4 linked regions of the Canis lupus familiaris genome follow. The protein of the gene in region 4 interacts with the protein of the main gene of each other region in a biochemical or structural test. Links are inferred from orthologs where the notes say so. Each region holds a gene or a part of one and is shown on either strand. Other genes may lie near its edges.

Evidence for each region.
Region 1: of the proteins of DDX58 (region 4) and TRIM25, one has a biochemical effect on the other in vitro, tested with the Homo sapiens proteins (5 studies listed by BioGRID, with this or other methods). The link is inferred for Canis lupus familiaris from reciprocal best matches to the Homo sapiens genes RIGI and TRIM25.
Region 2: of the proteins of DDX58 (region 4) and RNF135, one has a biochemical effect on the other in vitro, tested with the Homo sapiens proteins (6 studies listed by BioGRID, with this or other methods). The link is inferred for Canis lupus familiaris from reciprocal best matches to the Homo sapiens genes RIGI and RNF135.
Region 3: of the proteins of DDX58 (region 4) and RNF125, one has a biochemical effect on the other in vitro, tested with the Homo sapiens proteins (3 studies listed by BioGRID and IntAct, with this or other methods). The link is inferred for Canis lupus familiaris from reciprocal best matches to the Homo sapiens genes RIGI and RNF125.

What each region holds. Positions count from the first base shown.
Region 1 is NC_049230.1:31,670,601-31,678,241, forward strand, and holds part of TRIM25 (E3 ubiquitin/ISG15 ligase TRIM25), read right to left. Parts: intron 4,882-7,641; coding exon 4,710-4,881; intron 3,005-4,709; coding exon 2,939-3,004; intron 791-2,938; coding exon 764-790; intron 422-763; coding exon 332-421; intron 251-331; coding exon 152-250; intron 1-151.
Region 2 is NC_049230.1:40,775,812-40,784,003, reverse strand, and holds the start of RNF135 (E3 ubiquitin-protein ligase RNF135), read left to right. Parts: upstream 1-3,363; 5' UTR 3,364-3,892; coding exon 3,893-4,168; intron 4,169-6,959; exon of another isoform or gene 6,960-6,974; coding exon of another isoform or gene 6,975-7,031; intron 7,032-8,192.
Region 3 is NC_049228.1:57,576,100-57,584,441, reverse strand, and holds the start of RNF125 (E3 ubiquitin-protein ligase RNF125), read left to right. Parts: upstream 1-2,936; 5' UTR 2,937-3,044; coding exon 3,045-3,208; intron 3,209-8,342. UniProt on the Homo sapiens protein: E3 ubiquitin-protein ligase that mediates ubiquitination and subsequent proteasomal degradation of target proteins, such as RIGI, MAVS/IPS1, IFIH1/MDA5, JAK1 and p53/TP53.
Region 4 is NC_049232.1:50,009,925-50,017,565, forward strand, and holds part of DDX58 (antiviral innate immune response receptor RIG-I), read right to left. Parts: intron 7,079-7,641; coding exon 6,820-7,078; intron 4,702-6,819; coding exon 4,539-4,701; intron 2,685-4,538; coding exon 2,565-2,684; intron 1-2,564.

The sequences.
Region 1 (7,641 bases), on a different chromosome or scaffold from region 4:
GGCTGCGGCAGAGTGTAGGATAGGCCAGTCGCCAGCAAGAAGGAGGGGGACCAAGCTGGACCTCCCGGCGGAGGCGAGGGCAAAGCCATGCACAGAGCCACCCAGAGCCTGAGAGCCAACAGCATCACACCTCAGAGCCAACACTACTCACACTCCAGGAGCTCGGGCCTGGACTTGAGTAAGAAGTTCTCCAGCACCTTGGCTTTGAGGGACACGACGTTTTGCTGCTCGGAGGTGGCTTTGGCTCCAGCTGGGTGAGGACACAGACAGCCATTTTCAGAACAAAGTCAGCGTGGGCACCCCGCACTGCCCCTTGCCCGCAATAACTCACTCTCCGGGCTTGCTTGTTTGAGGTCCAGTAACTGCTCTGGGGCTCCGAAGGTGGGCATCTTGACAGACGAGGCTGAGCCAGAGGCAGTGGCTGCGGATGAGGAAGAGAAACATGTCACTGAGGGATTAGATGGCCTGTCCTCCCTTCCACACTCATCTTCAAGAGCTACTTCCACAAACACACCTGGACAGCTGGCATGATACAGGTGAGCCCACCCAGGGCAACATTCACTATTCATCTCGCTCACATGTACTTGAGCTCACCCCCAACCTCAGGCCTCATCCCCACCCTGCCCCAAAGGAACGTAATCCCAGAACTCAGGCTCCATCCCGGAGCCCCAATGCCAGAGGACAGCCTTCGCGGCCTGCCAGCACTTAGCTCCACACGTGAGCAATTTCCAGAAACAAAAAGATGCACAGGTACATAACCTACCAGGTTTCTTGGTTTTCTTTTCTTCTTCTGAAAAAGAAAATTTTCAGAATGAAGATCTTTGCAAGCACAGCCCAATGACACCTTCAAAATCCCATGAGAACCATTTGCATGAATGTGATCCACACAGATACTTTCACTGGGAATATATTTCACTAGGATATTTTCATTGGATGCAAGCACACAAATCTATGATGACAGAAACATGCATCAGTGGTTTTGGGGGTTGGGACCGATAATGAGGAGCATGAAGGAATTTTCTGGGGTAATTCTCTAACTTGATTTGGGTAAGGTGACACACACATACACGTCTGTCAAAATTAACTGTGCTCTAATTAAATTATACCTCTGTAAAATAAAAATACAAAAGAAAACATACACCCAAAAAAGAAAAAAAGATGGAAAAAGGAGTCAGCAAAGAAAGGTGCTTGCCGAGTATCACAAGAGTCTTTAAAAACTGTCTGGAGAGGGACGCCTGGGTGGCTCGGTGGTTGAGCACCTGCCTTCAGCCCCAGGCACGATCCTGGAGTCCCGGGATCAAGTCCCACATCGGGCTCCCTACATGGAGCCTGCTTCTCCCTCTGCCTGTGTCTCTGCCTCTCTCTCTGTGTCTCTCATGAATAAGTAAATAAAATCTTTAAAATAAAAAAAAAAAACTATCTGGAGTAATCACCTATGAAAACTGAATTTTTTTTTAATTTTCTTTTTTCTTTTTTTTAATTTTACTCACTTATGATAGTCATACAGAGAGAGAGAGAGGCAGAGACACAGGCAGAGGGAGAAGCAGGCTCCATGCACCGGGAGCCCGATGTGGGATTTGATCCTGGGTCTCGAGGATCGTGCCCTGGGCCAAAGGCAGGCGCCAAACCGCTGTGCCACCCAGGGATCCCGAAAACTGAATTTAGCTAAAGCAAAGACTCTCAAAGAGTGCCCCTCCCCGCCCCCAGCAGCATCAGCACTGCTGGGGAATTGTAGGAAATGCAAACTCTTGGATCCCACCCATGACCCTGATGAATCTGAAAGTCTGCGGGTGGGGCCAAAGCGATCTGTGTTTTACAAGCCCCTGGTGAGTCTGAGACATATTCGAGTCTACTGGAGCTAGAGGATTTCGGGTTCCTTCTGTCACCTTCCCCACCCCTAGAATGAAAAGGGGTGTTTTGGCTCTTATCCCTGCCTGCCTGCAGGGTACTTCACGTGGTGGACATGCCCGGCTCTCTTCTATCATCCTCCACCTCCCTGCCAGCCCCCATTCAGCCCCATGTGACCCCCTGTGTCCCCCTTCCTCCCACTCCTGAGTCCTGTTTCCAGACGCTGTCTTCACACTGGCCCCATTTCCCTCTCTCCCGCCCACTCCCGCAGGACTGGCATCTCTGGAGGGCCCCCTCCCAGGTCATCGCAGTTGCTCCAAGTCCCGTCTATACTGTGACTGGTCCACTCCTTCCCTGCCCATTGCCCCATGGCAGCCCGTGGCCAGGATCCACAGCTCACTCCTGCCAGAGCGGCGCTGTGATCTGGGGCAGCAGCAAGAAATTCTGCCGGGGGCGGGGGTGGTGCTCTGAGAAGGACACAGGTACACAGCATTGGTTCTGCTATTTTTCCTTTTCCCTTGGTCACGCCAAGTGTCCTTCCACATCTGCCCGCTGAGCTGGGGGCTCCCCACTCCACCCACACCCGGCACCCGGGGCCCTGGCTCTATTCTGTTCTAATAGCACGTGCCTTCTCACCATGGCAGTGATATGCCCCCAAGCGGGCCAAAATGGATTTTTGGTAGAAGGTGAAAAAAATCTTATTCTTTATATGTATAAAAGCATAGTCTATAAATAGACATACTGCATATGCACGGTATTAAAATTTCATGGGGCAATTAGGGCCAAAACTTGGGTGTTGGCAAATATTTCTCAAGACAAGTGGGCTTTGGTAACCTTGCTGGCCCAGGCCACCTGCAGAGCCAGTGCTGATGGGCCAGTCCTGCTGAGCACCCCAGGGGAGCTCTCACCACAGCCCCTCCAGCTCCTGTTCAGTGGCCCGTGGCCAGATGCATCTCCAGAGGCACTTGCCCCCCTCCCCCAGCAATTTGGGCCAGGCTGGTGGGAGCAGCCATGCCTGTGAGGGTCTCGGCTGGAGCCCCGGCTGGCCACAGCCGTGCTGCGCCCCAGGAACAGCAGCAGAGTTACTTACTCGGGAGCTTTTTCGCAAAATGTATGGGTTTGTGCGTGGATGCTGAGCCATGCTCTCCAGGGTTCCCTGTGCCAAAGAAGAAGGCATTAGTTTATGCAGCTCCTCTGAAGGCACCCTCCGGGCCAGCTTGGCTAGGGCCGGGAGAAGAGAGGCTTTACAAAGGCAATTTCCAGTGACTTTCCCCATCCAATCATTTACAAGAGCTAGAAACAAGGTGACACGAAGACAAGTTTGTTGTGTCCTTCTCTGGCTTAAAATATAGCGGGGGTCAAGTGTTTTCTCTGCCAGTGCCCCACTCCATGACCTCTGAAGCCTCTCTGAGGTTCAATTTCTTCCAATGTCAACAGGGATGAGCCCCCTGCTTGTGGCAATGAGGCCAATAAGCCTGGTATGCAGTGCTAGTTCCTCCCCCTCCAGTTTTTCCATCAACCCTCCTCCCCCAGACTAGCAATCACTGATGTAGCAGGAAAATAAATATGCATGGCCAACTCATCCACAGTTTTACCCTCTATACAGAGTGTGCCACACCTGTCTCAGAGGCCCTTCTGCAAGGACACTCAGCTAGCCAAGCTGAAATGCAAGCCCACCCCCAGGGTTATCCACTAAGATTAACTGTGTGCAAGGCTCAGTGCCTGGCATAGGGGAGAGAGTATTGGATGAAAAACAGACTGAGCCCCGCCCTCACAGAAACTGCAATCTAGTGGGGGAAGAACAAAATGACAGAAAAGCAAACGCTGCCAAAGGAAGATAAGGATCCTGGGACCTAGTCTGAGGAGTGGGAGTGGTGGTGACAGGGAAGGTTTGCTGAGAAATACAATGTTTCACCCAATCTCTGAAAAGTGAGAGGAGTGAACTGGTGAGGATGGTGGAGTCTGAGCCTTCTAGGCAGTGGGAAGGGCATGTACAAAGGCCCTGTGGTAGGAAGTTTAGCATATGTGAGGAACTCAATGCAGAGACATGTGTGGGACAAGGGGGCACTTCAGGACTGGTGAAGTGGACAGGGCCTGACCAGGCAGGGTCCTGTAGAACACTGTCAAGAGCGTGGTCTGAAATCTAAAAGCAATGGAAACTCTCTTAACAGGGTGAGGGAAGAAAGTCCCAGGAGATCAGATTTGCATCCTAAAAAGCTCTCTGGCTGCAACAGGCCTGGATACGGAAGGATTATTTAGAAAGCTGCCACAGGTGGTGGCAAGAGAAAGCAGGCAGGTGGTAGCTGGCACTGAGGACTGAGTGGACTGAGTCAGGAGATATTTAAGAAGTAAAATCTTAAATAAAATCTTTAAAAAAAAAAAAAAAAAAAAGAGCAGCCCGGGTGGCCCAGCAGTTTAGTGCTGACTTCAGCCCAGGGCGTGATCCTGGAGAACCGGGATCAAGTCCCACGTCGGGCTCCCTGTATGGAGCCTGCTTCTCCCTCTGCCTGTGTCTCTGCCTCTCTCTCTGTGTCTCATGAATAAATAAATAAAATCTTTAGGGAAAAAAAAAAAAAAAAAGCCATCTGAGCAAGCCTCAAGATCACAGACAAAAAGAGCCTGTCCAGAAAGTCCCATTGTTAGCATCAAGGCCCCCAGAAATGTTTTAGGCAGGATGGCTACAACCCAGGATGTTTCCCCACCACCTCCCAGATGGAGGGAGGGGGCAGATGTCTCAGGACCCCTGAAATTCAAGCCCTTGTGCTCTGAATCAAGACCCTCTCCCCAACACCAAAACACTGAGGGGACCCAACCCATTTCAGGGGTCCCAGGAGGGGAGCATGGTGGTTGCTAATGGTTACCTGAGCTGGTGGGTTCCTCAGCCTTCTGGTCCTGGGACTGCCTGATATAGTGTTTCAGCCTCTCTTTGAGATTTGAGGTGCCCTGACAGATACCCTTTATCAGCTCCTGATTCAGGTCCACTTTGGGGACGTAGACTGGCTTTGTTGAGATTCCTTGCAGTTTTTTCGCTTTCTGAAACAAGCCAAGGAGTTAGTTCAGGCAGCTCCAAGGAAGCCAGGGCCCGAGCTCCGGCTTTATGAACATCACCAGAAGCTTCCCTATGCCCACATGTGCTCAGTCCAATCAGCCTTCTCAAATTACAGGCCAGAGGTTGCTGGGGGCTAATGTGTCACTTTTGGTCACAGCTCTCTGGATGGGGACAGGCCCTCAGAGACCAGTCACCTACCATGAGAGACACTAAAGTCCACAAACAACAAGTGTCCAAAAAAAAAAAAAAAAAGAAAAGAAAAGAAAAAGAAAAAAAAAAGAAAGAAAGAAAAGAAAAAGGAAATAACAAGCATCCTGCCAGGAACTCTGCCAATTAGTGGCAGGGACAAAGTTGGGACACAATCTGCTGAGCCCCATTGATAATGTTCCCCCCCTCCTCCAGCTGTGGCGGGCCAAGTAAGGAGGTGCAGGACCATGTCCGGCCCTTAAGGACCAGCTCTGAACACACGTTCTAAAACTGGACAGGGATGCCTTAGGGGGCCCAGGTTGGGCCAGGGCATATGCAGGGAAAAGGAAGGAATGTACCGAAGGTCCCAAACCTTGAGATAAAGTTGGGTCATACAACATGAAGAGGCTCTAGAGAGGGACTCAGAATCATTCTCAAAGAGCTGCAGGCAGCCACTCCAACAAACAGGAAGGAATACGGAGATGAAAATCAGTGGTGCCCAGCCCAGGCAGGGAGAAGAGGAGGTTCCCAGTCACTCCTGTACTCTCCCCAGGACCTAAACAAGGAATCTGGTCCTCTGAGGCTTTGTCACCCCATCGATGGGGCTCACCAGAACATGCGCTGCGTGCCAGGAGAAGGGGGCAGTGATGAGGGATGGGCTTCCCGAAGGAGCAGGCGGTCTGAACAGACATGACTACAAGCACATCTAAAAGCACGCCACCCAGTGCTAGGGCAGAGGCAGCGTGACCTGCTCCATCACCAGTAATGGCAGGATAACAAGATCTGAGGAAGATGGGGGGAAGCTGGGGTGGCCCTGTAAAAAAAAAACAGGATATACTAGGCAGAGGAAGTCGCCCTGGAGTTCCCCTCCAAAGCCCAGTGTGTCTGGGGAACGATGAATGCTGTGCGGTGCTTATAGCACAGAGCATGGGCTGGGGGCGGGTGGCAAGAGAGGAGGCTGCTGGCAAAGACAGGGTCTGGTCACTGAGGGCCTTTAGAAAGAGACCTCCAGGGTCCATGGGGAGGAGGGGCGGAGGCATATGCAGTAGGCAGCGCTCTAAGATGGCCCCCAAGATGCCCACCTGGCCTGGGGGTACATACCCCGTATAATCTGCTCCCCCCTCCCCATGCCCTGGAGTATGGGTGGGACAGTGAATACCGCAGGATATCACTCCTGTGGTTCAGTTACCAAGCATGGGAAAACTGAATGAATACTGCAGATGTAAAGAAGATCCCCAATCTGTTGGTTTTGAGTTCATCAGAAAGGTGAGTATCCTGGGTGGGCCTGATTTCACCAGGTCAGAGCCATTAAAAGGGATCAGGCTTATAAGAAAGAATGGAATCTTGCCGGGACGGGACGCCTGGGTGGCTCAGCCTTCAGATCAGGGTGTGATCCCGGAATCCAAGATCAAGTCCTGCATCAGGCTCCCCGCAGGGAGCCTGGTTCTCTCTCTGCCTGTGTCTCTGCCTCTCTCTCTCTGTGTGTCTCTTATGAATGAATAAATATTTTTTTAAAAAAAGAATGGAATCTTGCCATTTACGACGACATGGATGGAGCTAAAGAGTATCATGCTCAGCAAAATAAGTCAGAAAAAGACAAACACCATGATTTCTGTCATATGTGGCAATTTAAGAAACAAAAGAAGCAAAGGGTAAAGAATAGAGAGAGACACACACAAAGCCAAGAAACAGATTCTTAACTCTAGGAACTGGTGCTTACTGGAGGGGAGGGGGGTGCGGGGTTGGGGGAACAGGGGATGGGGGTTGGGAGTACACTTATCATGATGGGCACTGAGTAATGTAGAGAATTGTTGAATCTGAATCTGTTGAATCTGTTGTACACCTGAAACTAACATAACACCGTATGTTAACTATATACTGGAATTAAAATTTTTTTAAAAAGCGGGGGGGCACCTGGGTGGCTCAGTGGTTGAGCCAGATGCTTTTGGCTCAGGGTGGGATCCCAGGGTCCCGGGGATCATCAAGTCCCATCAGGTTGCCTGTGAGGAGCCTGCTTCTCCCTCTGCCTATGTCTCTGCCTCTCTCTGTGTGTGTCTCTCATGAATAAATAAAATTTTTTTTAAAAAGAGGGGTACCTGGTGGGCTCAGTGGTAGACCATGACTCTTGATCTCAGGGTCATGAGTTCAAGCCCCACATTGGGTGTGGAGCCTACTTTTAAAAAAGAGAGATAGAGAGAGGAGAGAGAAAGAGAAAGACCAATAACCTAAGGAGAAGAAAAAAGGGACCAGGCTTTCCTGGAGGGAGAAATTCTCTGCTGGCTTTGAAGAAGTAAGTAGCTGCCATGCCAGGTACCGGGAGGAGGACACTCGGCAAGGAGCTGCAGCGGCCTCTGGCAACCAGCAGCAGGCCTCAGCCAGCCAGGGAGAGAGCAGGGACCTCGGGCCCGCACCCCAGGAACTGAATTCTGCCGACAACCCCATGAGCCCTTGGCTCCAAAAGGTATGCAGCCCAGCCAACACTCAGATTGCAAGCCTCTAGGCCACGTCCTGACCCCTGGGCCACAGAAAGCATGAGGTGACAAAGAAACGCCCGTACA
Region 2 (8,192 bases), on a different chromosome or scaffold from region 4:
AGGCAGAGACATAAGCAGAGGGAGAAGCAGGCTCTATGCAGGGAGCCTGATGTGGGACTTGATCCCAGGACTCCAGGATCATGCCCTGAGCCGAAGGCAGAGGCTTAACTGCTGAGCCACCCAGGCATCCCTATAATTTTAATGATAAGTCAATCTAGCATAAAAATTTATTTATTTTTTTAAAGATTTAATTTATTTATTCATGAGAGACACGGAGAGAGCGAGAGGCAGAGACACAGGCAGAGGGAGAAGGAGGCTCCATGCAGGGAGCCTGATGTGGGACTCCATCTCAGGACTCCAGGATCACGCCCCAGGCCAAAGGCAGGCACTAAACCGCTGAACCACCTGGGGATCCCCCAGAAGAAAAATTTAATGAGCCTTTTTGTTATAGGAAGTAAAACAGACTTAAAATTTCAATAAATATGCATATTTCTATTGCAGAGAATTATTACAAGTTGATAAAAGTGATTACAAAGTGATAAAAGACTTTCATGCATAAAATAGATTGCTTTAGAATATCGTTCTGTGGAATTGGACAACTAAGAAGAAATGGATAAATTCCTAGAAACATATAAACTACCAAAACTGAAACAGGAAGAAATAGAAAATTTGAGCAGACATAACCAGCAAAGAAACTGAATCAGTACAAAAAAAAAAAAAACAAAAACCCTCCCAACAAATGAAACTCCAGTGATGTGGGAAGCAAAGACAAAAGAAAAATCAAACGTCTTTACTACTTATAGGCCATTGACAAGTCCTTGAAACAGGCAGAATGACAGTCCTATAGGAACTCAGCTGCCTCGATGTTAGAGCTTTGCTAAGGGCAAAAGGCAATCTTAGCCCAACTCCAGAATCCTGTAAGTCTACTTTAACATGTAAAAATTCCTTTGAGGGGCATCTGAGTGATGTAGTCAATTAAGCGTCCAATTCTTGGGTTCAGCTCAGGTTGTGATCTCACAGTTTTGGGATTGAGCGCCAAGTCACACTCCGTGCTCAGCATGGAGTCTGCTGAGATTCTCTCTCCCTCTCCCTCTGCCCCTCCTGCTCATGCTCACCCTCTGTCTAAAATAAATAAATCTTTTAAAAAAATAAATAATTACTTTGGAAACTTCCTTTATCTTTATCCTCCCAAGATATGTGTTGGCAATCATCCGCCAAGCATATGATCCGCCAATATACATCTGGAGGGTCTCATGACTAAGGTTTTATTAGACAGCAATAAAGATTTTATTTATTTATTTATTTGTTTATTTATTTATTTATTTATTTATTCATTCATTCATTCATTCATTCATGAGAGACAGAGAGAGAGAGGTAGAGTCACAGGCAGAGGGAGAAGCAGGCTTCCTGCAAGGAGCCCAATTCGGGCTCGATCCGGATTCTGGGATCACGCCCTGAGCCGAAGGCAGATGTTTAACTGCTGAGCCACCCAGGCGTCCCATCAGACAGTAATAAATGATCTTTTCCTAACAATAGCTAGCCCCCTCAAAGTCCTGGAAACCTTGCTTCCAAAATTCTTTGGAGACTTATGCTCTCCCTAACCCCCTCCCAACTTGGAGATATATAATGGGCCACTCCTCATGACCCCAGTGCAGCTCTTTCTGCCCACAGGTCCTGTCCCTGTGCTTTAATAAAAACACTTTTTTGGGCCCCTGGCTGGCTCAGTGGTTGGACATCTGCCTTTGGCTCAGGTTGTGATCCTGGCTCAGTGGTTGGACATCTGCCTTTGGCTCAAGTTGTGATCCTCTCTCTATGTATCTCATGAATAAATAAATAAAAATCTTTAAAAAATAAAAACACTTTTTTGCACTGAAGGCGTTTTAAGAATTCTTTCTTGGCTGTTGGCTCTGAACCCCAATATCTATCCTATATCACTAGGATCAAATGACTTCACAGGTGAATTTTACCAAATAGTTAAAGAAGAGTGAACATCTCTTCTTCTCAAACTATTCCAAAAAATAGAAATGGAAGAATATAGTTCTCTGGAGAAAATGGAATGGCAATACAAATTCAAAAAGATGAAACAAAGAGAAATTTTCCAATGTAAATGAAGAACTTGTTAATGTATTTTTACAGCTAGGGCTACTTCCACCCCTACCCTCTTTTTGGTAACCACTGCATGTTTTTGCATGAAACTTTCAGGAATTGTCCAAGAAAAAGTTTGCAGACCACTGGTTAATCCACTCCTTCAAGAAACTTGGGTGTCTAATAGAGAAGGGAAGGAGAGGTGGCTAGAGGGATGCTTCTATCAAAGGAAATTTTATTTTTCAAGATGGAAAGTTTGAGCATGTGTCTTTAGTATTGTGTCTATATTTCCAGAAAAGAGAGGTGTGAAGAAATAGGGTTTACCACCAATGAAGAGACTTCAGAACAAAATCCAGGTAACATATCAATCAGGATAGGCTAAATTATGCTGTAGCCACAAGCACCCATTAAGTCTCCATAAGCTTAACATGTCTTAAGTTTATTTTTCTCTTTTACTACAGGTTCCAGTGTGGGTCCCCAGGGGGTCTGCTCATCTTCACCACTCAGACACCAGGCCACCAGATGATGGCTTCATCTCCACAGTCAGGGCATTTGGCAGAAAGGGATACAATGACTTACTAGCTTTTTTAAGCTGGTGGAAAGGTGACAAGTATTCTGCATGTTTCAAGTGGGTCAGAGAAGTGCCAATCCTACCAGGTGCTGAAAAGAGCTGGAAACTTCACTGAGTAGCCTAATAGGTAGTTCTATTGACTACTACTTGTCATTTCCAGTATTGGAAATAGCCATAAATTTGTATTATCTGGTACTTACTTTGGGGCAAGGCAAGATGGGATGAAATAAAATATGAGATATTGTTAGTTCATTTCAACAGATCAGAGAGATGGGGGTTCTGGTCTCTGCCACTCAATGGATGCTGTGTAAACCTGAAAGTTCCTTTGCGTCTTTGGGGCCTTCCAGCCCCAACATTTTCCTGCTGTGATGAGTCTGGGACTGGAATAAGGAGAGAGGAGGAAGCGAGCGAGCCCAACCAAGGCCAGGCTTGCTACCTCAAGAAAACAGACCTAGTGTTTTTGTCCGGTTGCCTGTTGGGTAATGTGCTTTCAGCCAGCAGAGAGCAGCACGGAGACAGTGGCATAGTTCTGCTTCGTAGTGTCGGTTTGAAACGTCTAGGGGTCCTTCAACTTTGGCCGCATATTAGAATCATCTCGAGGAGGCTTTTAAGAATATCCGTGCGGGGATCCACCCCGGAGGATGAAATCAGACTCTTTGGGAGTGAAGCCCCAGCATCATTCTTTTAAAAGAGCTATGTGCACTGGGAATTTTTTTTTTTTAAGATTTTATTTATTGATTCATGAGAGACACAGAGAGAGGCCGAGACATAGGCACAGGGGGAAGCAGGCTACCCCCGGGGAGCCTGATGAGGACTGGATCGCTGGACCCTGGGATGAGGACCTCACCCTCTGGCTGAGGCTCAACCACTGAGCCCCCCAAGTGCCCTGCGCCGGGTTTTCTTTAATCTTTTACTACTTGTTGGAGGGGATGGATGACAGCTAGTGGGCGCAGTCTCGTAGAAAAGTTCTGGAACCGGACCGTCTCTTTCTTCTCGAGGGCTGTCGGGACCGCGTTTTAATGGGCCGGGGTCTGTGTGCAGAGGGAGGGCATCAGGCTCGCGGGTCCTTGGGACATCGGGGTGCTCCCGGCGCTGGGGCGAGCTGAGATCCCGCGCAGCTGTGACTGCGGCCCGCTCCGCCCTGGGGCGCGGCGTGCGGGGAGGGGAAGCGCAAAGGCCGCTCTCCCCGACGCCGGAGACAGGAAGAAAGGCTGGGCCGAGGCGGGGAGAGGAAGGCCGAGGGAGGAGCTGGAGGCGCCGTCCGCGCCCAGGCGTCCCGTGGGGCGCCCCGTCACCATGGCGGGCCCGGACCCCGGCCCGGCCGTCCCCGTGTGGCTGGCCGAGGACGACCTGGGCTGCATCATCTGTCACGGGCTGCTCGCCTGGCCCGCCACGCTGCCCTGCGGCCACAGCTTCTGCCGCGACTGCCTCAAGGGCCTGTGGGCCGCCGGCTGCGCTGGGCCCCCGCGCTCCTGCCCCACCTGCCGCGCGAGCGCCGCGGAGCCGCGGCAGCTGCGCAAGAACACGATGCTGCAGGAGCTGGTGGACAAGTACAGCCGCGCGCTGCGCGAGGTAGGCGAGGGCCCGGCCGGCGCCGCGGGCACCTGCGCCCCCCGCCGCCCCGCGCCCCGCCCCGCGCCCCGCGCCCCCCGCCGCCGACCGCGCTTCCCGGGTGCCCTGCCTCCGCGCTTGCGCCCTTCGCCCCGCCGCCTGCCTGCCTGGCGATCTGCTCTCGCTCCGAGCACTCCCGCTCCTGGGGAAGTGGGGATGAGTGTGAGCACGCGGGGGAAAACCCAGTCCCTGACTTCCAATCAGACTGGGTGCTCTATCTACTCCTTGGCACATTTCCACTCTTGGCCAGTCTGTCTGCAGACTGTGGGCTCTTTTAACATTCTTCTATTGGGGTAACATATAGCATAGAGTCATACCAACCTTTTTTTTTTTTTTTTTCTTTTAAAGATTCTATTTATTTATCCATGAGACACACACAGAGAGAGGCAGAGACACAGGCAGAGGGAGAAGCAGGCTCCGTGCAGGGAGCCTGACGTGGGACTCGATCCCTGGACCCCGGGATCAGGACCTGAGCTGAAGGCAGAGGCTCAACCATTAAGCCGCCTAGGTGTCCCTCCATACTTTTTTAAGTGTATAATTTAGTGGCATGAGTTATATTCACAGTGATGTGCAGCTATCACTAGTTTGTTTCCAAAAGGTCATCACCACAAAAACTCTGCACCCTTTAAGCAATAACTTCTCATTCCAACGCTCTGCAGCACCCCCCCCCCCTTTTTTTTTAAAGATTTTTATTTATTTATGAGAGACAGAAGGAGAAGGAGGCTCCATGCAGGGAGCCCGACGTGGGACCCAATCCCGGGGTCCAGGATCACGCCCTGGGCCAAAGGCAGGCGCTAAACCGCTGAGCCACCCAGGCATCCTATCTGCAGCCTCTTTTAACCTCTAATCTGTGTTCTGTCTTCATGACTTGCCTACTCTAGGTATTTCATCTCAGTGGAGTCGTGTAATATTTGTCTCTTTGTGTCTGGCTTCTTCCACCTACCATGTTTTCAGAGTTCATTCATGTTGTAGCATGCACCTGAATTTTATTCCTTTTTGTGGCTGAGTAATGTTCCATTGTATGTATGTACCAAATATCTGTTCATACACTAATGGAAGTTTGGATTGTTTCCACCTGCTGGTTACTGTGAGTAATGATGCAGTGAATATTGGTGTGCAAATAACCAAGTCCTTATTTTCAGTTCTTTTCAGTAAATTCTGCAGCAGCTACAACATTTTACATTCCACCAGCAAAGGAGGAGTTGCCGAATTTTCTTTTTTCTTTTTTTTTTTTTTTCCGAATTTTCCACATACTTGTCAGTACTTGTTATTCTCTCGTTTTATTTTCATTCCACCTTCTCACCACTTTGTTTTTAGTATAGCTTTCCCATTTAGGATTGAAGCGTTTTCTCACTGTGGGTTTGGTCTGCATTTCCCTGACGATTGATGATGGTGACTGAACATCTTCTCATGTGTATGTGTTTTTTAAAGATTTTGTTTGTTTGTTTGTTTGTTTGTTTGTTTATTTATTTATTTATTTATTTATTTATTTGAAAGAGAGAGAGATAGTAAGAGAGAGCACTAGCAGGGGGCAGAGGGAGAAGCAGGCTCCCCGCTGATCAGTGAGCCTCAATATGGGGCTCTATCCCAGGACTCTGGGATCATGACCTGAGCCAAAGGCAGACTCTTAAGGGACTGAGCCACCCAGGCACCCCTCTTTTCTTGTGCTTATTGCTCATGTATATATCTTCATTGGAGAAATGCTTATTCAGGTCCTTTGATTGTTTTAAAAGTTAGGTTCTTTTTTTTTTTAGAGATTTAATTTGTTTATTTATGAGAGACACGGAGGCAGAGACATAGGAAGAGAGAGAAGCGGGCTCCCTGCAAGGAGCCCGATGTGGGACTCAATCCCAGATCCCAGATCCCAGGATCATGCCCAGAGCTGAAGGCAGACGCTCAATCGCTGAGCCACCCAGGCGTCCCTAAAAGTTAGGTTCTTTGTTTTTGTTGAGTTTTAGGAAATCTTTATAAATTGTGGATATTAAGCCCTTATCAGATAATACCACTTTCAAATATATCCCCCCCATCTTATGGGTTGTCATTTTACTTTCTTGATGGTGTCCTTTGATACACAAAAGTTTTATCTATTTCTTCTTCTCATGTCATATCTAAATGCATTGCTGAATTCTGAGTTCATGAAGATTTACCCTCATATTTTCTCCTAAGATTTTTATGGTAATAGGTCATATATTTAGGTTGCTGATCTATTTTGAGTTAATGTTTCTATGTGCATGAGATAGGGGTCCAACTTTATTCTTTTACATGTGGAAATCTAGCTGTCCCAGCACTATCTGTCGAAGAGACTATTTTTCTCCATTGAGTGGAGTTAGCACCTTATAAAAAAATCAGCTAGGGGGTACCTTCACCTGAAACCATCTGTACAAGTATTACTCTTGGGGCGCCTGTGTGGCTCAGTGGTTGAGCATCTGCCTTCAGCTCGGGTCTTGATCCCAGGGTCCTGGGATCTAGTCCCATACTGTGCTCCCCATGGGGAGCCTGCCTATCTTTCTGTGTCTCTCATTAATAAATAAAATCTTTTAAAAAAATCAGTTGGCCTTAGATGAATGGATTTATCTCTGGACTCCTAATTCTATTCCACTGATTTTTTTTGGTCTATCCTTATGTCAGTACCACATTGTTTTGATTACTGTAGCTTTGTAGTAAAGTTTGAAATCAGAAAGCATAAGTCCATCCTACTCTGTTCTTCTTTTTCAAGATTGTTTTCGCTCTTCAGGGCCTCTGCAATTCCATATGAATTTGAAGATTGATGTTACCATTCTGCAAAGAAGGCTGTTGGAATTTTGAGAGGGAGTGGATTGAATCTGTAGGTTACCTTGGGTGTGACATCTTTAACAATATTATGTCTTCTTGGGGATCCCTGGGTGGCGCAGCGGTTTAGCACCCGCCTTTGGCCCAGGGCGTGATCCTGGACACCCGGGATCAAGTCCCACGTCGGGCTCCCTGCATGGAGCCTGCTTCTCCCTCTGCCTCTCTCTCTGTCTGTCTGTCTATCATGAATAAATAAAATCTTAAAAAAACAAAACAAAACAAAACAATATTATGTCTTCTTGGGGCAGCCCTGGTTACCTAGCGGTTTAGCGCTGCCTTCAGCCCAGGGCCTGATACTGGAGAACCCAGATCAAGTCCCACATCGGGCTCCCTGCATGGAGCCTGCTTCTCCCTCTGCCAGTCTCTCTCTCTCTCTCTCTCTCTCTCTCTGTCATGAAAAAATAAATAAAATCTTTAAAAAATATATTATGTCTTCTTCCCAGAAATGTGAAATGTCTTTCCATTTATTTATTATTTATTATTTCCATTTATTTATTCCATTTATTTAGGTCTTTTTAACTATCTTTCAGTGATGTTCTGTAGGTTCCAAAAATATAAGTCCTTTCATTTCCTTAGTTAAATTTATTCCTAGGTATTTTATTCCTTTAGATGCTACTATAAATGGAATTGCTTCCTTAATTTCATTTTTGGATCATTCCCTGCAGGTGTATAAAAACACACTTCTTTTTGGGAGATGATCTTGTGCCCTGTGATTTTGCTGAATTCATTTACTAGCTTTCTTGTGGATTCTTTTTTTTTTTTTTAAGAGAGTTTTAAAAATGTATTTGACAGAAAGAGAGCAAAAGTAGGCAGAGTGGCAGGCAGAGGGAGAGGGAGAAGTAGGCTCCTTGCTGAGCAGAGAGCCCAACATGGGGCTCCATCCCAGGACCCTGATATCATGACCTGAGCCACCCAGGCCATCCTCTCTTGTGGATTCTTTAGGATAATATTTATATGGTCATATCCTATGTGAGTACAGATCATCGTACTTCTTTTCCAATTGGGATGCTTTTTATTTCTTGTCTAATTGCTCTGCCTAAATTTCCTGTACAATGTTTGGTAGCAGAGTTGAAACCAGGCATGCTTGTTTTGTTCCTGACTAGAAGCTTTTAGTCTTCTACCATGGAGTATGATGTTAGTTGTGGGTTTTTCGTAA
Region 3 (8,342 bases), on a different chromosome or scaffold from region 4:
AATAAGGAAGGGGAAGAAATCAAGATGGCTTCCAGGCATCTGGATTGAGCTACCAGCTAGACTGTAGCGCCATTTACTAAGAGTAGGATAAACACCTGGAGGAAGTAGAACAGGTGGGAGATTACTATAACATTCAACTATAATGTTGAAATGAAGGTGCCTGAAGCAACCAGGTGGTTATGTCAAGTAAGCAGTTGGGCATTTGAGTGGCCCAGAGTAGAGATAAAGACTTAGAAGTCTTTGGAATCAAGATGGTAACAGAATCTATATAAGTTTTCAGATTTTTAGGGAGGGAACAAGGGATGAGAAAATGTCCTAAGACAGAATCCTAGGACCTCCAGAACTTAGCTTCTCCATAACGAAGAAGAGGCCAGTGAAGGAGACAGAGAAGAATTGCCAGAAAGAAAGAGGGAATGCCAAAGAATTTTTACAAGGAGGGAGTGCTCAATACCAACAAATGCAGTTGAGAGGTCAAGGAAGAAAAAGACTTAAAAAGATTCTATCGGATTTAGCCACATGAAGGTCACTGATAAACAGGGGTGATGAAGCAACTTTTAGTCAGATGGAAGTGGATTGGTCAATTCAGAACCCAGGTTGGACTGGATAAAGAGAGCATAATTAAGAAACGGAGACATAGATGGCAGAGAAGCAGGTCAAGAAATCTGGCCTTTAAGAGGACATGGGCAGGAGCTGAGTTTGTTTTTTGTTTTCTTTTTTTAAGGATTTTATTTATTTATTTTATAGAGCAAGAGACCGCATGTGAACATGTGCACATGTGAGTGTGGGGGGAGGGGCAGAGGGAAGAGAATCTTAAGCAGGCTCCATGCCCAGCATGAAGCCCAATGCAGGGCTTGGACTCATGAGCCTGAGATCATGACCTGAGCCAACACCAAGAGTTGGACGCTTGACCGACTGAGCCACCTAGGCTCCCACCATCCCTATCTTTAAAAGAAAAACAGGGGCACCGCCGTCCCCCACTCACACATGCACTTTCCTTCTCTCTCAAATAAGTAAATAAAATCTTTAAAGATAGAGATGGCTATCTTTCCTTCACCTCTATATCCAATTCATTTGCAAAAGCCCCTTTGGGTCTTTCTCTTAAATGTATCCCAAATCTGTCCATCTCACCTTCGACCCAGATAACTCCTTGGTTTGAGCCGTCATCCTCACTTGGGCTCAGTCCTCTCCAAGTGGTTTCTCTGCTTCCATTCCTCTTTTGTTCTTGTCTTTTTGAAAACAGTGAACAGTCATAATACATGAAATCATGGTTTTGAAGTAAAATCCAAACTGGCCTATGAGATCAAATAGAATCAGGCCCTTCTCCTATTTAAGGCACCCTGTGCTACCCTGCTGGTTCCCCTTGTTCTGTCTCCAAAGAGAGTCTCTTTCTGTTCTTTGTTCCTTGCACACTCACTGGTCCCAGTGCTTAGCAAGCTTTTTCCTGCATCTTTGAATGGCTGACTCCCTTTCATTATTTATGACTGCTCAGATGTTGCCTCATCCCAAAAGTCTTCTCGGACCCTCTTACCCTCCCCACTCCTATGGTCAGTCCCTGTCTTGCCTTTTCCATGGTTCTTATCATCTGAAATGATCTTGCTCATTTACTCGTTGATTACTTACATCTTCTTATTAAAAGCAAAGTCGGGGGGAAACTGGGTTAAGTTTATGGGATTACTATGTATTACATGTATTGTTGTGTGATGGGTTGTGTGGATCATATATTACTAGGTGTTATTTATAAATAAATGATAAGCATGTTGGGGCAGCCCTGGTTGCTCAGCGGTTTTGCGCCGCCTTCAGCCCAGGGCCTGATCCTGGAGAGACCGGGGATCGAGTCCCACGTCGGGCTCCCTGCCTGGAGCCTGCTTCTCCCTCTGCCTGTGTCTCTGCCTCTCTCTCTCTGTGTGTGTCTTATGAATAAATGAATGAAATCTTAAAAAAAAAGATATTAAGAAAATGATAAGCATGTGAATCTGTAATTATCTCAACCAAAGTCAACATTTTTGGTTTTGTTTTTTTAAAATAAGTTCTGTGGGAACGGGGATTTTGTCTCCTGGTCAGAATTGTGTTCCCATCACCAGAACAAAGTCTGCTATGCAGTGGGCACTAAAGAAGTCTTATTAAATGTGTGGCTTTTTTAAAAATAATATTTTATTTATTATTTGAGAGAGAGAGAGAGAGAGAGAGAGAGAGTGCACAAGCAGAGGGGAAAGGGCAGAGGAGGCAGAGAGAGAAGCAGCAGGGAGTCCGCGGTGGGGCTTGATCCGAGGACCCGGAGATCATGGCCAAGCAGAAGGCAGATGCTTAACCGACTGGGCCTCCCAGGCGCCCAGGTATGGCTCATTAAATGATGTATTTGGTCATGGCTAAAAGAGGGAGGGGCAGGGAGTAGGGGCAACAGCGGGACACCCTGCGCCCAGGAAACTGAGGCAGTAGAATTTATAGCACTAGAACCCTTATCGTCGTGAGTTGGGATCCGAACCCGGGTCTCAGAACCTTTTGCACGCCGCGTGCTAGCCCTCCCCCCGTGGGGCGCCGACTGCGGCCCGAGCGCAGGGGGGCGCGGTCTCGGGAGCCGCTCGGTGCCAGCCCGCGGCCGGGGCGCGCTGGGGTCGCAGCCGCGCAGGGCGGACGCGAGCATCACCTCCCGCGGGGCCCCTGCGTCGCGGCCGGCGGGGCCGGCTCCACCCTCTCCGGAGCTCGCCAGAACGCGGTACGGACGCGCGCGACAGCCCGCCGGCCGCCCCGCCGCTCCGGGCCCTGCGGGGGAGGTTTCAGGTTTCAGCCCTCGCAGGAGCCGGGCCGTGGCAGCGCGCACCGTGCGGCCGCCCCCGCCTCCTTGTGTCGGCCGCGGCCGCGCGCTCGTCGGCCCTGGACGGAGGTGGGGCGCCGGGCCGCGGCCGCCGCCGGGCTGCTGTCGCCGGGCGCGCGGGGAGGCGGCGGTCGCCGCTGGGCCGGGACTTCCTTCCTCTGCCGCAGGACAGCAAAACAACCCGGCCGCGGGCGCGGAGCTGCCGGCCGCTGTCTGGGCGAGAGGCGCCGCGATGGGCTCCGTGCTGAGCAGCGACAGCGCCAAAGCCGCCCCCGCCTCGGCCGCCCCCCGGGCCCTGGAGCGCAGCGGGGACCCCGAGCTGCCCGTCACGTCCTTCGACTGCTCCGTGTGCCTCGAGGTGCTGCACCAGCCCGTCCGGACCCGCTGCGGCCACGTGTGAGTGCGGGGGGAGCTCGGCTTGCGCGCCCGCTTCTGGGGAGGGCGAGGCCGGGGGAGCCCGCGCGTGGGAACGGAGCTCCTGCGGGGGACACACCCGGACCCGGCGAGCCCGGGCCGCGGGGAAGGCGACCTGTCGGAAGGTGACACAGGCATGCAGGAGGCGAAAACAGAAACAGGCGGGCGCCGCGGCGCCTCCCCGCCAGGCCCCGAGGCGCTGCTTGCCCCAAGCCCAGGTGCGGAGCCCCAGACCGGGTGCCCAGGCGCAGGAGCCGCCGGGGGCCGGGGCCGTCAGCTGGGGAGGGTGCCCTTGGCTGGACGGCCGGCACCCGCTTGGACACAGGGCAGTGGGCTTCTGCAGAGCAATCACCCCGCCGAGCTCAATCAATCGGGAGGTGCTGCCCCCTCCCCACCCCCCGCCGCCCCGCAGGTCGGTTTTGTTTTGCTGGCCCTGCACGTGTTCCAGGACGCCCACTGGGGCAGCCTCTTGAGCAAACAAAGATCCGTGCAAACTGTCCTTCCACCTCCACCTCCCCCTCCCCATCCTAATGCACACACTCAGGCCCTTCAAAGATCAGCTCAACAGGCGGAGTGACCTCGTAGCCCTTAGACTTTAAGTGCCTGTCGGGGTGGGGCCGGGACCTGAGAACCTTAGCGCCAGGCCCTTGAGTGTAGCCCTTTAAAATCTAACCACAGAGTGACAGGAGTTTGCAGACTCCCTGCCTCACGCGGCGCTTCCCTAAAATCGATGGAAAGCAGAGATAAAAATTAGTCGTTTCTAAAAAGAGTTTGAAAACAAAATCCCTATATAAAATTGGCCCGTCCTTAATGTGTGCTGGGGCCACTAGTGATGGGAGTTGGACCTGTGGTTTCGTGTTCTGTTTCCGCAGAAGCTTGCTTTCCGTGGCTGCCTGGGTGTGTGAGTGAGTGTGTGCCTGTTGGGGGTGGGTGGGGTGCGGGGAGTTGCACAGAGTGAGAACGGAAGCCCACTTAATGTCTTCTTTGGCTGACTAGAGTTTGATGAAGCGCCAGGGCAATACCGCAATGGCTAGTAAGTGCTTCTGGCTTAGCAAGGGGGGAAAAACCCATATTATAAATGCAAGTGCACAAAATGTTTTCAAAAAGACTTAGATGGTTCTTGACACCTATAGACTAGTGACTGAGAAGCACCATGAAAACCTCGGTGGTGAGCCAAGAAGGAAAAATGCAGCCCACATAGTGTTTAAATAAAGAGTGCCCTGGGCATTATTTTGTGGCTGTGTTTTCAAGGCCTGTTGTTTCAGCGTTGTACTTTAAACTCAAGCCTAATTGGCCTCCAGACTGATTACTGATGTTGTTTCCCAGCTGTCCAGATGTAGCTCATGATATGAAATCCCAAGGCCAAGATGGAAGCCGAGATAGCATCGTGTAACAGTATAATATATTGATTAGTTGGGACAGTAATCATCCCCGGGTAGCTATGGGTAAATTTAGGCTGTGCATTAAAACTTTAAAGTTGCACCAGGAATGCGCAGCGGGCATCGAGTCTTGAAAGTTCCTTCTGTAGAACTGAATTGGATGACTTTGATATTGGAGGTTGTTATCTGATTGAGGATTGTTTTCCCTGGTTTGGATTTTTTAAAAATATTTTACTTATTTATTCACGAGAGACACAGAGAGAGGCAGAGACACAGGCAGAGGGAGAAGCAGGCTCCATGCAAGGAGCCCAGTGTGGGACTCGAAGTGGAACTGGATCCCAGACTCCAGGATCACGCCCGGGCCCAAGGGAGGCGCTAAATCACTGAGCCACCCAGGGATCCCACCTGGTTTGGATTTTGAATGCCATAACTTACTGTTTGTAGTGTTTTTGCTTCTGCTAAAGGATAATGTAAATGTGTAAAAAGTTAAATCTTTTGTTTAATCTTTTTCTTTGTTAGAGTTTGAATAGGAAACCAGCAACTGGAAAAAATAGTCATGAAGTAGCACAAGGGCTGGATGAATTGCCTTCCCTCACTTTACTGTTCTTTGTTTTGACAAATCTATGTCCATTGTTCTGGCTGTGGGCAGAATTTCCATATTCCTCCTTTTGGCAAATTTACTTGGGCCCCTTCCACTTTATAAATGTTAACTAGAGTTCCTTCTCCACTGGGAATGGTGAGTGCTGTTAACACCATTTGTGTACTTCCTAAATAAATTTACTCTCCTCCATTGACCCTAAATTGGAAAATGGAGAAATGCAAATGAAATCTCTGTATGTTATCTCCTATTGAAGCTAATTTCCAAACTTGTTGAACTCGTTGGTTTATGCTGATTTCTGCTCATAAACCTATTTCGAGTCAATCAAGTACTTAATAATGACAAAAATACATTGAATGAGTATGTATATAGCACTCTATAAATTGTAGAAACAGTGGGACTGAGAGAGAGCAGTATTTGAAATTCAGCCCTGCCACTGACTGGTTGTGTGACCACCATGGGGCTATCTCTTTGACTGCTTCTTCATTTGTACAATAGGGTGAATAATGGAATTTTTATGAGTATTTTAAAAATGTAAAAGTGGCCCATCATAAAGCCTCAACACTTAATTTCTATCTCCCTTAAAGACATTCCACAAAGCAAAAACCCAGGAATGGGTATTATTTCTTATCTGTATTTCTTTTGGAATAAAACTGGGCCACAAAAGATAGATCTATGACATTTCTAAGATGTCGCAGATTATCTTCCTTTTAGCTGAGTTCTTTTTCCTTTGGTGGCCTTTAATTTAAGATATTCTATTTTAATGTGCTGTCATTTCAAATCGACATTGCTCATACGTCTGTATCAGTTGTTAAAACAGCTTTTGGGGGAAAGGCTTCCCACCTCTGCCTTATCTTCTGTTATGGGGGTGAGGAGTAGATAAGTTGAAGCTGTGTGAATGAAACTGAAAGGGAATCAGAATCTGATTTATATTTAAAATAAGTATTTTTAAAGAAATTTGTTGACCAGTTGCGTATGACAGATAAAGGGGGGAGAAAGGGTGGAAGGCAACTCCCTAACAGGTGACAGAGATAAAGGGGGGCAGAGTTCAGCTCCAGAGGTAATGTAGTGAACTTGTAATGGGGCTTGTCAAGTATACAGTAGTCTGATAGGGAGATATCCAAAGGGAAATATCCCAAAGGTACTGGGAGAACGGGTTTGGGGAAAGGTCAGAGCCAGAGCTAAGGGAGTTATCTAAAAGAATCAAGAAGTGGAGAATAGATCTAACAGAACTAGGAGGTACAGACTGGAGCATGCTAGAAGGCACAAAGAGCTACATCTTCATCGAACTGAGTTGGGTTAAATAGTTCCAAATCACAGAATTTGCCTAATTTTGAAAATGGAACTGTTGAGGATAATTCTGAAGTGCTTTCAGGTAAGTGAATTAAAACTTTCCATTTGTGGTCAAGTATGAATGGTACAGCCTGCATCAAATTAGTGGTTCTCTGAGAGTTTCCTGATGAGTTTTAAACTGACCCAGAAATATACATCAGTGCTTTCACTTTTTTTTTAACATTTAATATATTTTATTATATTTACATTTTAAAAATTATTTAAATATTTAAATATATTTTAAATTTTTTATTAAGGTGTAATTGACATATGTTAGTTTCAGGTGTTCAACATAATGATTCAATCTTTATATAAATTGGAAAACAAACACCATGAAGAGTCTAGTTAACATCTGTCAGCGTACATAGTTACACAGCTTTTTCTTACAACTTTTTAAGATCTATTGTTTTGGGGCACCTGGGTGGCTCAGTTGGTTAAGCATCTGCCTTTGGTTCAGGTCATGGTCCTGGGATCCTGGGATCAAGGCCTGCATCTGGCTCCTTGCTCAACAGTGCCTACTTCTCCCTCTCCCTCTGCCTGCCACTCCCCCTGCTTGTGCTCTCTTTTTATCAAAAAGAAATAAAATCTTGGAAAAACAAAAAGATCTATTGTCTTAGCAACTTTTAAATATATACTACAGTACTATACATATAGTGTTAACTGTAGCCACCATGTTGTACATTAGAGCCTTGTGATTTATTTATTTTTAACTGAAAGTTCATACCTTTTGACCCCCTTTCAGCCATTTTGCTGCCCATTTCATTCCTACAGGAGTTGTGCAATCCCAAAGAATTCTTCTTTAACATAAGATTAAAGCTATTTGCCTTATTGATTATTACAGATATTTATTATCTCCTTGTATATTATCTACTAGTGAGGGTTCTTCTGAGAAACAACCAATAGTGTGTGTGTGTGTGTGTGTGTGTAAAAAGACTGATTTTAAGGAATTTCTTCACATCATTGAGGATAATCGCTTCCTTAAAGTCAACTGATTATAGATGTTAACTACTTCTGCAAAATACCTGCACAGCAACACCTAGGTAAGTGTTTGATTAGATAACTGAGTACTATAGCCTATCCAAGTTGACACATAAAACTAACCATCACACCTATCAACTGAGTTTTTAAGGGTTATTAAAATCTGGTATCAAAAACAAAAATTAGATCATTGTCAGGCTTTACTATAGACCGTTCAGCATTCTACTAAAAAATCTGGCTGTCAGGCAACCATGTACACACCTACATGCTGCTCAAGCAGACAGTAGGAATCCACACAGTTTTCTTTAAAATAAAATCATTGTTCATTTTCTTCATCATTTTTATTTTGGTTTATTATGAGTTGTTTGGTTAGATCTGCTTTTGCATGGAATGCTTTCATTTATTGATCAAGCAAATATCCCCTGTCCTGTGCTGAGCACATAGACACAGATATCTATCCTCCTGGAGCTTGCATTCTCATCTGGCAGGTGCACAATAAACAAAATACCGGCATTAAATATGTCACTTGTTTATATAGTGATGGGTGTTAAAGAGAAAAAAAAAATAAGCCAGGAAATAGGATAGGAAGTATGTGGGGGAGTTGCAATTTTAAGATATTTAGAGCAATGCTTCTCAAATTACCTGCTGTAAAGAAGCAGTGAGGTTTTGTTTTGTTGTGCTTTTAGCCCATCACTGATCAATAATCTGATAAAATTAAAAAATGAATTATTGAAAAAAATTGAATTTAAAAATACCAAAGATCTATAAAATACAAGCCTTCATTTTAAAAAGTAATAATTACATTCAACAGACATAAAATTATTCTGGC
Region 4 (7,641 bases):
GCACAGCATAGTAAAACTCACAACCAAGAGCTATGTTTCCAGGTTAAATTGCTCCTCTCACCCATTCATGTTTAACAGGAGAAACAAAGGAGGTTATTCAAATTGCATTGACATGCTTCTTTCCCAACCCCAACTACAAACAAAGTAGCCAGCAGTAAACTAGATGAATTAACAAGTATTTCTTGAATGTGAATAGGTATGAAAATGACCTAAGCAATCTGGAAATGAACAGTTCACAGGATGTGTACTGGGGAAAAGGTGGAGGTAGGGAGTTAGAAGTGGGAGGAATAAGAAGGTAGAAATTCATATCCCTCTACCCTTCTGCTATCTTCCCAGTTCAGACCATGTTCTAATGTTCGTGAATAAAATAACGACCTCCTAACTGGTCTCCCTACTTTTTGCCTTATTCCCTCTAATCCACTCCACTCAGCAGCTAGAGAGAATTTCTAAATTTGCAGAGGAAACACTTCGCTACCCCACTACTTAAAAGCCTTTAGTGGAATCCTCTGGCCAAAATCCTACCCGGCTCCCAGGACCCTCTGTGATCTAACCTCTGCCTGCTTCTGATTCTCATCTCTAGCTGCTCCACTTCCGGCATCTGTCAGAACTAACAGAAGTCCTCATACTCTCTCCACTTTCCTGGCCTTTGCACATGTTTTTCCTTCCGCCTGAAACACCACCCACCTACCCCTATGCTGTTGCTTTATTATTACTTTAGCTTTATTATTACTTATCTAATTTTGGCTTTACCATTGGACTGGAAATATCACAGGGAAGGAGTTATGTCTCAGTCTCAGGGTCCATGCTATGTTCCCATCACCTGGCATATTGCTCAGCACCAAGTAAATGACAAGTGAATGAATACGTTCAAGGTACTGCTAAATCAAAGGATTCAAGCAGGGAAGGAGTAGAAGGTAAAACTGGAAAGATGAGTAGAACCAGATTGTGCAGGCCGGGGTCACACTGGCAGGTTAGAGGCTTAGAGAGCTTTGCTTAAAAGGCAGAGAGGTTCAAGCAGGATCCTGACATGATAAAACTGGTATTTCAGAAAGACAGGGGCAGCCCAGGTGGCTCAGCGGTTTAGCACTGCCTTCAGCCCAGGGCCTGATCCAGGAGACCAGGAATCAAGTCCCATGTCAGGCTCCCTGCATGGAGCCTGCTTCTCCCTCTGCCTGTGTCTCTGCCTCTCTCTCTCTCTCTCTCTCTCTCTCTCTCTCTCTCTCTCTCTCTCTGTCTCTCATGAATAAATAAATAAAATCTTTAAAAAGAAAGAAAGACCACCCAGGTAATGGGAGGCTGATTGGAAAAGTGAGTGGGGGTAGGGGTGGGTGAAACAGCCAGACAGCTGTTACAGTAAGTCCTAAATCAAGCTTTGGAAGAAGAGGAGAAAAAAAAAAGCAAAATAAATGTGAGTAAAGGTGAATTCACAAATTAAGCATCTCCAACACTGCTCCTAGTTCTGGAACCAGCACTACTCACTGGTATACCTACAAGGGTACATGCCAGAAGCTTGGTGGAGATCACCCCTACTCCCAACTCAGAACCAGAAGCCATGAAATTGGAAAGCTTCCTGCTTGCAACACTTGCTCAGCACATGCCTCCTCCCTCCACCAGCCTGTCTTGACTGCCTCTGTTTGACTCTCTTTGTTCACTGGTATCTTTATCACATCACAAATCAGTTTAAAATCTTTGGATGCTTCCCCCTGCTTTTAGGACAAAGTCAAACCCAGTTTGGCTACCAGGCCTTTCCTGGTCTTGCCCCTGCCTCTCTCTTTAGCGTCACTCCTTTCTACCACTCGTGCATTAGGAGTACCATGAAATGGTTGCAGTTCCTAAAATTTTTTCTTCCTTTAAAGCCTTAATGCCTTTTCAACCTCACTTGGTTATCTTTCCTTCTTAATTTGGCTGACTTTCAAGACTGTTTCAGGCATCATCCCACCCCAAAACGCTTTCCCAAAGGCCCATTCCAGGTCAAAGTTCCCACGTGCTCCCAGGGCACACAGGTGTCCCTCTGCCCTGCCATGTGGAAGCTACTCACATCTGACTCTCATTATTTAGCTGTGAGTTCCCTGAGGATGGGACTATGTCTTTAACCTTGTTATTTCCATTAGCTGGCACAATGAATATCTGGTGAATGAATGAAAGAACAAAAGAGAGAAGAATAGAACTTGGTAACTTCATGAGAGAGTCTCAAAAGAAGAAAGAATCAAAGATCACCACCTATTTCAATCTGAGCCATCAAGGAAATGGTGGTTTCTTTCATATAAAGGGGGAAATCAGAACAGAAAACTAATCTGGAAAATTAAGAAAGCCATGAACTGATTTAAACATGGTATTTTTCGGCTATGTGTATCCACATAGATTTACTGTGGATTTAAAAAGAAAAAAGAAAAAAAAAAACAAGGACTAAAGGAGGACATAATGAGGAGGTTCCCGAATAACCTATAATCAAGAAGTTAACCTCTTGATATGGTCTTAAGACTGTCTGAACTAAAGAGATGCAAAAAGAGAACACTATATGGCTATTCCTAAGTGGAGAGAACATAAAATGAGATTTATCTCACCGAGAGTTATGGTACCGAGTTCATCAAAGATATTCTTTGCCAGACTCTCTGTCTCCCTCATCAGCTGAGAAATGATGCATTTAAATCTGTCAGTAGTCCGTGATTCCACTTTCCTGAAAACTAGAGCCATGAAAACAAAGTGAGCATTTTTTAGGAACACATCATAGTTCAAAGTAGGCATCTGCACACGTTTCTCTGCCTGTTACCTCCTCTGCAAGATCTGAGGCTCACGGGGAGATTGTCTAAAGGATATATCAAATGTTCAGAAACTTGGCAATAGCTCCCTGGTGCTTACTGCACAGATCCTAATATCTCTGTCTTTCATGATCTGGGTCTAATCCAACTTTTTATTCTGCTTTTCCTGTTACTCAACATGGAGCCTCTACTCTGACAAGGCTGGTATCCATCTTATCTCTGCAAATACAACACATTTTAACCCTCTCTTCTTTGATTTTCTCCTTTCCCACTCAACCCCCTGAAGTGCTCACACTTCCTAAAATTCAGTACTATATTATTTTGGCAGAAACTTATTAACTGCCTACCACGTGCCATGTTCTGGAGATCAACAGTTGAAAAGTACACAGCCTGTGCTCACAGAAGACTGTATCCTCAGGGCAGAGAAAGATACATAGCCAAATAATCACAGTGAAGTGCTGTAACATTAAGTATATGAAAGGTGTCATGGAGCACAAGGAAAAGAATCTCTTATTCTTTCAAGGGAGGAAATGTTGTGGGATAAATAGGGGAAGAGGAGTGGAGGAAACACTGATACTCCTGAGGAACCAGAGGTATGCAACATGGTTGGACTTATGGGAGGGGGAGATGAAGCACAGAGGGCAGAAGGGACTTGAGGGGCACCTGGGTGGCTCAGTGGTTGAGCATCTGCCTTTGGCTCAGATTGTGATCCTGGGGTCCTGGGATCGAGTCCTGCAGGCAGGAGCCTGCTTCTCCCTCTGCCTATGTCTCTGCCTCTCTCTCTCTCTCTGTGTCTTCTCATGAATAAATAAATTAAAAATCTTAAAAAAAAAAAAAAAGAAATTTGTACTTGATACTGAAAAGTTTAGATTGGGTACCTTCCTTAACCTCTTTACAGGAAGCTCCCAGAAAGGAACTGAACTGCCTCTCCTTGGCTATTTCATGTGTTTTTGTTCTGCTTTATACAGTCATACACTATCCCCAGAGCAAGGATGAAGGCATATATGTCTACTCTCCCACTTTCCCCTGCTGGGTTAGTATAGCATTGGAATTTATTAAATATTTGCTAGTCAATCTTTTTAAAAAAAATCATATTCTAAAAAAAAATCATATTCTGATCTGCTGAGAAAAAATATGATGAACTAAGAATAATTTCATTTCAACCCAAATCATCAGATACATATTCATTTTTTTAAAGGTTTTTTTATGTATTTATTCATGAGAGACACAGAAAGAGAGAGGCAGAGACACAGGCAGAGGGAGAAGCAGGTTCCATGCAGGGAGCCCAATGTAGGACTCGATCCCAGGACTCCAGGATCACACCCTGGGCCAAAGGCAGGCGCTAAACCGCTGAGCCACCCAGGGATCCCCAGATACATATTCAAATAATGAATGGCCACACAGTATCCTTCCTCCTTAGGAATGCAACACAGGGAAGGACTGAGACCAGCTCTTGGCCATTTATGTGATTTGATTTTCTCATCACGTCTCTCTTGCTGTCAGTATCCTTATAAGAACTTTATCAAAAACAAAAAAAGAACTGAATCAAACTGAAGAGTAAGAATGTTTGCTTTTGACAGTCCACTCCTGAGGTTCACCCACTGATGAAGAGCTCAGCTGAGAAGAGAGGCATGAAATGTAATTATTTCCCAAATTTGGGGTTAAATATTTTCTACTAAACAGAAAAAGTAAAAATTCAGTATTCATTCAAATGGCTCCGAACTAAGAAAAGCAGAGGGTAACAAAGTCCTGAAGGGCTTGTTACTGGATTCCACTTACACTTCTGGGGCTTATAAACAATTTCTTCCAATTCCTCCAAGTTGTCTTTGACTGTTGCTATCACTGATGTGTCAAGAGAAGCACACAGTTTGCAGATATATTCCATGGCTTCCATTGTGTTTTTGGCATCCCCGATGCCAACTGAGGCAGTCAGCCCAACAACCTATGAGGAGCATTACAAATTGTCAGACATCTGGAAAACAGCATGCCATTTCCACAATCCCCCATGCAACCCTTTCCTGCTAAAGTAGGGTTTTGGTTTTTTATTTGTTTGTTTCTTACTAATTTCTTTTTTTTAATATTTTATTTATTTATTTATTCATGAGAGAGGGAGAGGCAGAGACACAGGCAGAGGGAGAAGCAGGCTCCATGCAGGAATCCTGGGGTCCTGGGATCCGGGACCCCAGGATCACATCTTGGGCTGAAGGCAGGTGTTAAACCGCTGAGCAGGGATCCGCCTTACTAGTTTCATATAAAGCACAAGAACACTATTTTTTCCCCTGATGTTCTCTAAGATATTTCAAATGGAAATTCCCCAGGCAAAGCAGTGAATAATGCAGGCAAAGCAGTGAATAAATGCAGGAGTCACAAGTTTTCAAATGAACATGAATTAGCTAAAAAACCAAGAGCAGAAACACTCTCAAGGCAGGACTTTTCTCTATTCCTGTGTCCCCCATGATGTGTAGAACAACATACTATAAGAACAGGGACTAAAATCAGACACAACTTCATTCTAAACTCAACCATGCCACACCGGTGGTGGATCATTGGACAAGTATCTTCAGCTCTCTCTCTTTTTTTTTTTTTTTTGGTGCTAAAACCCGGGATCGAACTTCAGCTCTCTTTAAGGCTGGGAAACAATAGCCATTTAAAATGGTAGGTGTGTGAATTTCATAAGGTAACATTTGTAAAAAAAATTAGCTTAATGGTCACCTAACAATTTATGCCTTACTCAAATAGCCACTCAGTAAATACTGAATAGTTGACTCATTAGCAAGGAATCTAATTAACCAGCATTTTTTTCTAGAAGAAACTGTAAGATATGTGCTTGCTATGGAATTTTGTCTATGGGTACCATACGAATTTCTTCTAACCTATGTTTCCTACACAGGTAGTTATTAGGGCTAGAGAACTTTACCCATTGTGATATTGGTATATTAACTATAAAGTCATGGTTTCCAACTTCATCTGGATCCCCAATATGACCAAGCAATTCTTCTATATATTCCTCTTGATTCTCTCATTTCAAATCCTCTCCATGTACTCTGAGCTCCCTCCCCATTCCCATCCTGATTATTCTCAGCAAAGCATCTACCTCTCATTTAAAAGAGATATTAAATACCAGGGATTCCCTACCTTTCCTGTCCCCAACTCAGAACTACCCTCTCATCTTTACTCTTCTCACACCCTCACCTCTGATGACGCCCAAAATGCTCTCCTGTACTAATGAACATACCTGCCTACTTATCCCATACCCTCTGATCTCTCCTAGAATCTTGTTCTATCGATCATTCCCTCTATTCCACTCTGCCTCACCTACTGCTATTTACCATTTCACATTCCACACTCAAATGATACTGAAGAGCTTCAGGGCTCTTGGGCACAACATGTTCTCTCATACCTCTGTGCCTCCAGACACACAGTAGCCTTTCCTGAAAACCATCCAACTATCCACCTTATACATTCTTGTTAGTTTTTGCCTAACTTCTGTTGGGTCTTGGCTCACTTTCATAGCACACTTACGAGTTTTCACTTCTCTTCTGACTATACCTTGTATCATGTCCATAGTATGCCATCACCATATATTGTGACATAATTCTTACATGTCTGGTTCCCCATGAAACTTAAATTGTTTGAGGTATATGTCTTTTATATATGTAGCCCCAGTGCCTAGCACAGTGGATAACACAAAGGGGCACCTAATGCATATTTGTTAAGTAAATAAATGAATGAACAAGTCAAAACTAATCAATGAGGGACACCTAGGTGGCTCAGCAGTTGAGCGTCTGCCTTTGGCTCAGGGCATGATCCTAGGTCCAGGATCAAGTCCCACATTGGGCTCCTTGCGAGGAACCTCCTTCTCCCTCTGTCCATGTCTTTGCCTATGTCTCTCATGGATAAGTAAATAAAATCTTTAAAAAAATGAAAAAATTAATCAATGAGCTAGATGATATGGACTTAGGACCTGAGAAGACTATCCTCAATGTGGTCAGTAGGGTAAGAAAATAAGATTTAAAAAGGTTATGGCTCTTCTGAGGAATCCATCTGATTCTGGAGATACCTGAGGCAGTGGGTCTGAAGATCCTCCAAGTTTCTGATCTAGATAATTAAACATGATCATATTGTAAGGATGGTGTTTACTGGTGTTGTGACATTCATCAAATATCATCAAAGTAAAGACAGAGAGTGATGGAATAGTCCCATTTCTAAGGCAATTCACAAGAATCTGTGGAGTTAAAACGATGATGTCATTGTTCTCAACGATCTGTTCCACTGAGATATTCTCAGATGTTGCTCCAGAAATACCTGCAACTTTGTACCTGGGGAATGACAGAAATTCACTATTACCAACCATGATGTGAATGAGGAGTCACAAAGACATAAAACACTAAGTCAGAGCATCAACTAATTGAGTTCTTCCTAACTCCAAAAGGAATATATCTGGAGACAAGTGCTTAGCATGGAGCTATAAACATAGTAAATGGTTGATAAATGCAAGCTAGCTATAACTGCTAGTAGAGTATGCTAATTCCTTCAAGTCTTAAGAAAAAGTAGTAGGGGCGCCTTGGTGGCTCAGTCAGTTAAGTGTCTGCCTTCAGCTCAGGTCATGATGAGGTCCTGGGATCAAGCCCCATGTCAGGCTCTCTGCTCAGCAGGAAGCCTGCTTCTCACTCTCCCTCTGCCTGCCACTCCCCCTGTTGATACTCTCTGTCAAATAAATAAATAAAATCTTAAAAAAAATAAAGAAAATAGTATTTAAAGAAAAGAGTAATATTAAGGAAGTTATAAAATCATTAAAAAGTTAAATGTGGGGGCGCCCGGGTGGCTCAGAAAGTTAACCATCTGCCTTTGGCTCAGGTCATGATCCCAGGGTCCTGGGATT